Caenorhabditis elegans: one gene and its partner. The protein of the gene in region 1 purifies or fractionates together with the protein of each later gene. This does not show direct contact. Each region holds a gene or a part of one and is shown on either strand. Other genes may lie near its edges.

Evidence for each region. The genes of interacting proteins can lie anywhere in the genome.
Region 2: the proteins of lec-6 (region 1) and gfi-1 purify together in Caenorhabditis elegans (affinity purification with mass spectrometry, with the first as the bait; 2 studies listed by BioGRID). This does not show direct contact.

Annotation. Positions count from the first base shown.
Region 1 is NC_003281.10:598,979-602,302, forward strand, and holds lec-6 (Galectin), read right to left. Parts: upstream 1,389-3,324; 5' UTR 1,381-1,388; coding exon 1,057-1,380; intron 740-1,056; coding exon 623-739; 3' UTR 532-622; downstream 1-531.
Region 2 is NC_003283.11:6,393,895-6,401,481, forward strand, and holds the start of gfi-1 (ET module), read right to left. Parts: upstream 6,038-7,587; 5' UTR 6,028-6,037; coding exon 5,902-6,027; intron 5,853-5,901; coding exon 5,629-5,852; intron 5,051-5,628; coding exon 1-5,050.

The sequences.
Region 1 (3,324 bases):
GGAAAACAGGCATTTTGGCTGGAAAATAGACAAAAACGAAGAGAAAATGAAAAAAAATAATTCAAATAAATTTTGTGCGTCAAATAAGGTGCCCGGTCCGCAGCCACAGTGTTTGCACCGAACAGGAACTACAGTACCCTAAAATAGTATTTTCCTCGATTTCAGTTTTTGAAACTTGCTTTAAATGAACGAGTGGATATAAAATAGAAAATAAAGCTTTATTAAAAGAAAATAAGTGAAAATCTGATTAAGAATTTTCAAAAAAAAATCTTTTCCGAAGAATAAATCGAATTCCTTCACTATTTTTTCGAGATAAGAAGTTTTAAGAGAAAATGCCCTTTGGAACTAAGTAATGATTAAAAAGTATTAGGGGACGCTAAGCACGCTAAAACTGATGCTTCATAATAATAAACTATGAATTATCAACTTTATAGCGGTGACCTCTACCATTACTGCCGAAATTGCGCGTAAAATATGGCGCTTCGACTCAGTGTCTGCGAATCCATTTTTCGGAATTTAGAAAATAGAAATATTCAAAACCAAGGTTTATTGATATGAAATTTGCACAAAAATTCAAAATGTATCATAAAGAAAGAGTATTTTAAACCAAAAATTAAATAAATTAGTGAGAAACATGGGCGGAATGAACATGAACTCCTCCCTCGATCTCAATGAGATGGACTCCGTGGGATGGAGTACGCTCGACAAAGTCAGCGAAGTGGGCTCCGTTGACGAAGATCTGAAAAATATAATAGTTTAAAGATTAAGTTTCAGTAGGTGAACAGGGCTCGAAATCCAATGCTCATCAGAGATGGGAGTACGAAAAATCAAACTTTTCCACGTGGTGTCGAAGTGTCCCATTTTGGTGTGATCTTCAAAAAATGCGGCCGAAGAGGCGCTGACTTCTCAACTGATTTCGCATGATTAAGAGTGTGCTGATGTCACGAAAAATTCCCTCATTTTTTGTAGATCAAACCGCAACGAGACAGTCTGGCACCACGTGCTTTGCACGAACACAGTCCGCCTTAACATTCTTAAGCCCAGAATCCAACTAACCGAGATAATTCCACCGTTGGACACAAACTCCAGAGTGTAGATCTTGTTCTGCTGGAATGGATTGGCGTGACGATCCTCGGATTGCCAACCTCCTCCGCTGGTCGAGTTGTTCACAACAGCTCCCTCATCGAATCTAGCGTTGAAGTGAAGAACAATGTCGTCTGGAGTGCGAAGATTGATGTGGAAACGAGAATCGGCGGATGTTGGGAGAAGAACGAGACGGAGGCGAGCACCGTTGGAGAATCCTTGCACTGGGATGTTCACTGGGGTTTGTGGGTTGAAGAATTCGTTGCGGAAGCTGATTCCGATTCCTCCTCCGATCATGGTTGATTCTGAAATCAACTGTGTGAGTTGGGAAGGGAAACATGTTAGGAGCAATACTAAGACCACTATTCGTATAAAATGTACATCTATGAGAATTGTAAGCTGATTCTTTGGCTCTAAATCGCATGTTTTATCACTAGGTGATGTAAAATGTCTAAAGATCGAAAAGCCGAGTAGTTTGAAAGTTGATAAGAGCGTATGAAAAACCCTCGGCAAAGTAAACAATTCTCGGTGTCTACTGGGGGAAAATGTTCAACGAAAAAAAAATAGAAATTGGGCAATAAATGTAAACAATCCTCATCTATTTATACATCACAGAATGGGCGGATTCTTGCCTATGAGTCATCAAATACGATTCTAGAGAATTCCTTACTACATGAATCATGGAAAAAAAGGCTTGAGTACATTGTACACCTGCCATCGTCTCTTATAAGCAGTGTTTCTTATCAACTTATTGATGAGTTGGCATATGCTCCGCCTCGAACTATTTCGATGATAAGTTGCTTGTTTACTGAACTGAAAAAGGCTTTTCGATGAAAAATTCAGCCCGGCATAAAGAATGTCACGAGTTAGTTTGGAAATTAAGATGTGTGCTGATAAACGTCAAGAGAGGAAGTAGTGATAAAATTCTAGAGTTTTAACAAATTTGCAAAATCTCTGAATTGTTTTATTTTAGGAGTTTTTCAACCTAAATTCGTATTTTAGTTATTTAATTGTTCCTCGTTCCACACGTCACCATTTACAACCCTTATTATCGAAGTGCCAAGTTACAGGGAGAACTTGGTACATACCAGCTCACCAAGAAAAACCGATCAATAATGTAATAAAACCCGCTGACATTGAAGACAGAAGATACCGCAATTTTCTTTAATAGCTTGGGTTTTTATTAGCGCTAAACAATATATAACGTGGCAGTTTTTTTAATGCTGACTTATAAATAGTACTTTTCCTTTCAATGAATCTTCAGAGAATTTCAATGTGGCATTTTCTTAAAATCTTCCTCCGTTAAGCCATATTGCAATTGTATGTGGTAAACTTTCCAATACTATAAAAATTGAACTTTTAAAAACTTCTGAAACTTGAGTTTACAGTAACTTAAAGCTTAAAGGTGGAGTACCGAAATCTGAGACTTTGCTTTTTAGGCTCAAAACTACCGCATATCGTAATGAGACATCTTGAAAATTTCTCAACACGTTATGGCAGTTCAAAAATCTGGAAAAAGGTCCACTTTCAGCTAAAATCAAATTGTTTCCAACTTCTCGGTGTCGCTGCGTCTGGAAGTTAATTTGTATTTAATTACCACTTTCTAATAAATAATGTGATCGTTTAATGCGCATTTATTCGTTGGTTTAAGTACATTTTCGGCCAGTGGGGCACAAATAAAAGCTATGTTTTTGTGCCCCAATGACCGAAAATGCACTTTAATCAAACAATAAACTCCTAATAAAAAACCACAATATTTATCAAAGAATGAAAATTTTATTTTAGCTGAAAATGGGTCTGTTTTTCCAGAACTTTGAACCGCCATAATTTTTTTTTGCGAAGTTTTGAAAACGTCTCATTACGAAATTCGGTAGTTTTGGGCTATTTTGGGTCTAAAAACAAAGTCTCTGATTTCGGTACTCCACCTTTAAGATTTTCAAGTATACCCAGGAGCCACGTGTCCGTAAAAGTTCAATGATGGCATTTCCGGCTAGTAGTGATGTAATTTAGTCATGAAGCTGATTTTTTCTCCTCAATAATTTTGATGATTAATTATTGATAAGGAAAATGTCAAACAATTTGACGATTACCAGAAAGTTATTTTTCTACAATTCATGAATATCGGTTAAATTTGAGTAATCATTTTCTTCGTATGGAGCATGGGAAATTATTTAGACCTTTGCAAATTCAATTTTTTTTAAAAGCATTGTTAATTACCATCGTATTCCAATTTGATTCTAG
Region 2 (7,587 bases), on another chromosome or scaffold:
TCCTTGAAGAGTCAATGGAGCACCGTATGTTTGGTTGTTGACAAGGAGTCCCTGGTAGCAAGCAGTTGGGAAATCTGGAAGAACTGCTGGTCCTGGTTTCACATTTGGATCCTTGAGGTTGCAGTTGTCCGCGTTGTTACAGCAGCAGGCAGTGACTTCTCTGTCACTCCAAAGTGGACGACAAGTATCCTTAATCTCAAGAGATTTGCAGATAGTATCAGCAACACAGTGATAAGTAGTGACATTGAAACCTCCGACGATTCCAGTCAATGAAGCGCATTGTCCGGAACAATAGGTCTCAGCTCCGAGGCTCAACGAATTGTAGGTAGATTGTAGACCAACGTAGCACTTGAGTGGGTTAGGAGTACGTGGTGGAGAAACAGTTGGGTCGAGGCAAGCATCGGTAGAACAGCAGCATCCGGAAAGTCCATTCTCAATGGTAGTACAATTGTTGTTCATTCCAAGTTGATAGCATGTGCTGACTGGATCGCAAGTGTAAATTGTAGCGTTGGTGAGAGCTCCATTGTACATGGTTGAGAGAGTAGCAGAAGCGCATTCTCCCTTACATGCTTGCCAACCAGCGATGGAAATTGGCATGTTATTGACGTAAAGACCAGAGAAGCAAGCGATTGGATAATCACGGAAGTTCGTAACTGGCATTGAAGTATTGATCTTTCCACCATATCCAGCCAAATCGACGTTGCAGTTGTTGTAGTTGTCGCAGCAGCATCCCGTAACTGTGGTATCATATGGAAGTGGTTTGCACTCGTCGTACATCTCGAGTTGTCTGCAGAATTGGGTTGGCACGCATCCGAAGATAGCAACTGGGTCTTGGTTGAGGGTAGCTTGAATTGAGGCGCACTTTCCTGGGCAGAAGATTTCAGATCCAGTGGCCTTTCCTTGAGCGTAGATTCCAGCGAAGCACTTGCGGAATCCAGATGGTACAGTCTTGTTCTTTGGTGGATCAAGGCAGAGATCAGTGTTACAGCAGCATCCGGAGACTCCTGGGATTGGGGAGGCACACCAGTTGTTCATGTTGAGAGATTGGCAAACAGTGCTTGGGTCGCATCCGTAAAGAGTTGCTGTGGTGGCAACTCCGTTGAGTGTAGTGTTCAATGAGATGGACGCACATTGTCCCTGGCAAGCTCCGAGAATGACTGGAGTAGATGGAACACCGTTGACATAAAGTCCAGTGTAGCAAGCAATAGCATAGTCGACTGAAGTTGGTGGTGGTGGTGGAGTGATGGTGGTATTGGCAATGTTACAGTTGTTGGCATTGTTACAGCAGCATCCAGTGACTTGGTTGTCATTCCAAACTGGTTTGCAGTTGTCGTAGAGTTCAAGGGAGTTACAGATCGAGTTTGGCATGCAGTGATAGGTGTTGACTTGGAATCCACCGACAACTCCTGAGAGGGATGAGCATTGTCCGTTACATGGAATTTGAGCTCCAACGTTAACTGCGCTTCCATTAACAATGTAGTTCGAGCTGATACCAGCATAGCACATAAGTTGGTTTCCTGGGTTACGAGCTGGATAGACTGTTGGATCAATACAGGCATTGGTGTTACAGCAGCAGCCGGTAATTCCGTTCTCAAGAGTGGAGCACTTGTTCAGAATTTTCAAATTACGGCAAACGCGGGATGGATCGCAGGTGTAAAGAGCAGCGGTTCCGGCTTGTCCATTGAATTGAGATGTGATGGATACTGAGACACACTCTCCTTGGCAAGTCTGCCATCCAGCCGAGCTGTAAGCGGTTCCGTTGATGAAAAGTCCGGAGTAGCAAGATATTGGAGCATCATTGAGTGGAGTGAGTGGAATGGTGGTGTTGATCACGTTGGCAAGATGGGTCTGTCGAACGTTGCAGTTATCAGCATTGTCACAGCAGCAAGCTCGGAATTCTGGGTAGTATGGCTCCATGCGGGCGCAGGAATCGTAGAGCTCGAGGGAACGGCATAGAGAGTGTGGAACACAAGCGAAGAGGGTCACGTTGTCATTGGCAATGCGAGCGTTAACCGAGGCACACTTGCCGTCACAGAGTTGTTCAGCTCCGGTTTGAAGTGATGGCACGCTGGTAGAATAGAGCCCGACGTAGCACTTGAGTGGTGGAGTTGGAACGGTCTTTCCTCTGTTCGGATCGAGGCAAGCATCACTGTCGCAGCAGCAAGCGGTGACTCCAGCTTCTGGGGAAGTACAGTTGTTATGAACTTTAAGTTGGTAGCAGACAGACGATGGATCACAAGTGTAGAAGGAAGCCGTGTGCAAAGTTCCGTTGATCGTAGCATTGATGCTGACAGAGGCACATTCACCGAAGCAAACGGAGAATTCCATTGGAGTTTGGTTGAATCCGTCAACGATAAGACCAGCTGGGCAGGTGATTGGATATTCAACACGTGGACGTCTTCTTCCGGGATTGTTGATTGGAGGTCTTGGAACAACTTGATTCAAGTTGCAGTTAGGTCCATTGGTACAACAACATCCAGTGATATCTCTATCATACCAGAGTGTGCGGCAGCTGTCATAGACGTACAAGCTGTTACAGACGTATGTTGGGACACAAGCGTAAACAGTGACGTTAGCGTTGGCAAGTGTTGAAGTAACAGATGCGCAGTTTCCTTCGCAGTATTGTTCTCCTCCGGCATTGAAGATGGTATTTCCCTTCAAATCATAGGAGTAAGCTCCGACGTAACAGAGGTTTCCATCTCCATATGGTTTACGTGGTGGGGTGGATGTTGGATCGAGGCAAGCATCGCTGTCACAGCAGCAAGTCTCGAATCCTTGTTCTTGTTGGTGGCATCTGTTTGTTGAGTTCATCATTCTGCAGATGTAAGATGGGTCACACGTGTAAAGAGAAGCAGTGGTAGCAACTCCGTTGTATGTGGTGTTCAAGTTGACAGCAACACAATCTCCCTTGCAAGCAGTCCATCCTCCGTCAGAGATTTGGCTTCCTCCAATGAAAATTCCAGAATAGCAAGCGCGTGGCATCTCATTTGGTGCAAGTGGTGGAATGGTGACGTTGAATCCAGACGTAGCAACGTTGCAGTTGTCGAAGACATCACAGCAGTACGCGTTGACGAATCTGTCCAAGTAGAAAGTGTTGTTCGAGTTGTCAAGTCCAAGGGAACGGCACATAGATCTTGGAGCGCAATGGAAGGCGGTGACATAGTCGGATCCGACAACAGCGGAAACGGTGGCACAATATCCGTCGCAAAGAACTTCAGCTCCTGCGATGTTTCCCTTGTGCTGGGTGCTGATACCGACGTAGCATTTGAGAGCTTTTCCTGGAACACGGTTGTAGGTTGGATCAATACACTCATTGGAGTCACAGCAGCAAGCAGTGAGAGAGTTGTCAATGGTGGAGCAGTTGTTACGAAGTCCCATCGCGGCACAGGCACTGCTTGGATCGCAGGTGTAGAGAGTAGCGTAGTGAGAGTTGTTATTGACGGTTCCTCCAAGGGAAACAGACACACATTCTCCGTCGCACATGCGGTAGTAAGGCTGGCTGATGTTTTGTCCGTTGAGATGGATTCCTTCGTAGCAGACAATTCTTGGGTCACGACGAGCTGGGATGGCAGTGACGTTGACTCCAGCTGGGGCAAGACAGTTGTCAGTTTCTGAGCAGCAGCATCCAGTGACTTGTGGGTCAGCTCCTGGGATTTGTCCACAGTTTCCGTAAGATCCTCCGAATCCGAGTCCGAAGTAGCGGCACATTCCAACTGGGGCGCAGTAGTAGACAGTTGCGTTCTTTCCGTTGACAACAGAGTTCAAGGATCCGCACCATCCATCACAGAATTGGTCTCCTCCAGTGTTGTATTTGTCTTGTGGAATAGAAACTCCAGAATAGCAACGAAGTTGTGGGCGTTGAGATCCTCTGTTTGGATCAATGCAAAGATCATTGTCGCAACAGCAAGCATTGACTCCTCCAAGAACGCTTCCGCAAGAGTTGGAGATTCCGGCTTGTTGGCACATTGTGACTGGATCGCAAGTGTAGATGGTAGCATTGTGAACTTGGTTGGCGAAGGTGGTGGTGAAGCTAGCTGAAGCACACTCTCCTTGGCAGAGTCCGTAAGCAGAGTTGGTGATGGAAACTCCGTTAACCCAGATTCCTCCGTAGCAGAGAACTGGATACTTGGCGGTAGACACAGCAGAGTTATTCACACGTCCGAGAATGTATGGATTGTTAACGTTGCAGTTGTTGCTAGCAGAGCAGCAGTACACCTCAAGTTCCTCGTCTTGTGGTGGATTGTAGGTTTGTCCTTCAGTGGAAGCAAGTCCGAATCCAGCGCAGACATCGTATGGCATGCAAGTGAAGTATGAAACTTGTTGTCCGTTGGCATTGAACCTGACACGTCCACATCGTCCTTGGCAGTTCATTTCAGCTCCGAGCCAGGTTGTTCCATTGTAAAGTCCGACAGCGCATCTGAGCTGCTTGACTGGGTAGACTGGTGGAACAACAGTTGGGTCAATACATTTGTCCATGCTGTTGCAGGCACAGCCGGTGATGAGAGCGGTTGGGACTCCATTGATGTTTTGGGTGTCAAGGTTCATGCATCCGCTGTCGAGGTTCAAAGCAGTGAAGACGTTGACTGGGTCGCAAACGAAGATCTCTCCCCATACATTGGCTCCATTGTAAGTGGTACGAATACGAGCAGATCCGCATTCTCCCAAGCATTGAGAGAAGGATCCTCCATACAAGAGAGCTCCGTTGACGGAAATTCCTTGATAGCATGTCTGGTTGTTCTTGTTCCATGGAGATGGAGTTGGTGGGTTGTTCATTGGAGCGAGGCTAGTACAATCTTGCTTGTAACAGCAGCATCCTTGAATGTTGGTTCCAGCGAGATTGGTGCAGGCGATTGGATTATTTGGGTCAATATTTGGGAAGATGCCGTCGCAAAGTCCTTGTGGCATGCAAGCGTAGGCAGCAGCGTCGTATCCGTTGTAGACTCCAGAAACACTGGTACATACATTTCCTGCGGAGCAAGTGACGGTGTCCCCTGATCCGAATCCTGGAGTAGTGTTGTTGGCATAGAATCCGACGTAGCAGAGGATATTGCTGCAAACACACAAAATCAGTATTTTACTATTTTTCTTTGATTTTCCTCCTAGGAAAATTTTGGCGATCGCCAAAAATATACTACATATGTATCAGTTTCTTATCACACGATTGGTATTTCGGAATTTAAATGCCGAGGAGCTATCGAGCCACATTTCATGGTTGTGTTGCATGCGCTATTGGCACAATCAGATAAGAAGCGCGCCCAAATGTAAAACAATTATTCCATTATTGTTATCAGTTTGACGTTGACTGTAGTCACAAATTGAAATTGGATTAAATATAGCAAAATAAAGCTTTGGAATTTTGGACTGGTTTTTGCAGTTTTCAAATTACAATATTTTATGAGAGTTTTTTTTTTAAATCAACGAATTTGAAGGTACACATTCTCAAATTGCATTTGCTTGAAAAAGTGTTAATGAAACACTCAAGATGAAAAATTGTTGTTTTGGTACTCATACAGATCTTTTAATCCAATAATTGAATGAATTGGTCCATTTTTTTTTGAAAAAGAAAGAAAGAAGATATACACCTCAATTCCTATCAGTTGTCAAAAAAACAGTGATAACAAAACTCACTTTGGGGCATTAATAACTTCGATTGGCTTTGGAATATTTTCTTCCAAGTCGACCTTGTTACACAACTCATCCTCGCAGAAGCATGATGTCTCAAGCTCACTGCTGGAGCAATCCTGTCCTTTGTTAATGAAAGCCATGAGCTTGTTCTCTTCGCATGTCAAGAGAACAAGTCCTCCGCTTGGAGATTTGACAGTTTGTTTTCTGCACAATCCTTCGCATTCTCTCTGAAGTAGTCAAATGGAAAAATATAGAATTTATATCGGTTGGACGTACCAATTCAACAGACTTTGATGTAATAACATTTTCCGATACAATTAGATTTCCGACTAAGCAGTTTTGTTTAGCACTAGCGAAACTACAACAGCCGGCAAGTGCCAGCAGGAAAATGCCCAAGCGCATCTGAAATTTGAATGTGTTAGTGGCAAATTAAATATTCAATTTCAACAAATGAAGAATAGGAAAATGATTGTTAAAACATGAGTGCGACTTCTCCGAGCGGAAAGAAGAAATTGAGTACCTGACTAATGTAAATTGAGTGAATTAAGCCTCTTATAATGTCAAAATTGTCGAAATTGGTTCATAATCGGCAATCGGTCCTTGTTAACTGTAGTTTCGATAAAACACAAAGTGGGTGGATTCTCAGAACCTTGAAGGCGAAACTTGTGAAGCAGAATACAAAATTATTGACTTCAGCTGCAAAAGAAACAAACAAAGAAAAAGAGCTTCAAAAAGGCATTTGGAGCAGGAAATTTGGTTTTATTGCACATTTTTGCGTCAATTCGTTGATTCAAAGGTGGTCTTGTGGGTTTATTGTCTCGAACTACAGTACTCGGTCATATTAGTAAGAATATGAAAGGGAAAGTACAGACAAGAGAAAGTGCGAGAAAACTTGACTGAAAAACTCAAAAAAGCCCACAGGGATGCGGAATTTGTTTTCAGATTTTTTTAACCATAAATACTGTGAAACTACGATGTAAGTAATAATTTGGTTATTTTATCTAAATTTTAAGAATTTTCCCGCTGGGGCTATTCGATTTTTAGCTTCTATCTAGTTGAGTACAGTATGCCAGTTTGAGCAGTTTGTGGGAAAAATACACCCATTTCCATAAAATCAGGTAATTTCAGAAACGCTTACTGACATTCCAAAACTACACCACTTATTGTTTTGTTTACCTTTTGCCACATCTCACTCGTTTGTTATCAGCACTGATCATAAAACACGGAAATTCGAAAGGAAATTTCAATATCAAAAAATCAAAATTCAATTTAATTATTTCTTTCTTTGAGAGCCTTGAATCTAAAAATTTTATAATGTATCTGAAACAACATTGATCGATATTTTAAAATTCCATGCTGGAAAAATTGGGTTTCATAGTGCGCACTGTGGTAATTTTAGTGCCAGTGTAATATTGACAACAGATCAACAAAAAAACTTAGTTAGCCAAATATCAGTTAAAAACACTACAATTCTTGTTTAATTTCAAGTTGTTTTCTTTGGGTTAAAGGTAGTCTAAAGGTGGCCTAAAGGTGGGTTTATTGTTTCAAACTGTAGTATTCCATCATATTAGTAAGGAAATTGCGAAAAAAAACGAAGTACGAGAAATTTTGACCGATGCCTTCTCCCGATCTTCCTTTAGCAATTTTCGAATAATTTTTTGTTTAATTTAAAAAAATCCACGGTTATACAGCTGAAATTTGAATTAATTGAAAATTGAAAACTGTGGCAACCATTAAACGCGCTCAATACCAATATGTATTAGTTGTTGCTAAAACGGAAGACCGACAAAATATGATATGTGATAGGCCACCTTTAATGGAGTGGCAATGCTTTTGTTTTGAATATTATTTTGTGTCGAGAAATAATTTTATTGTAAAGATCGCTCAACAATTAAGATTTAGAATCTTCAAAGAAAAGGAGAAAATTAAAAAAAAAGAACAAACAAAAAGTTATGCGCGAAA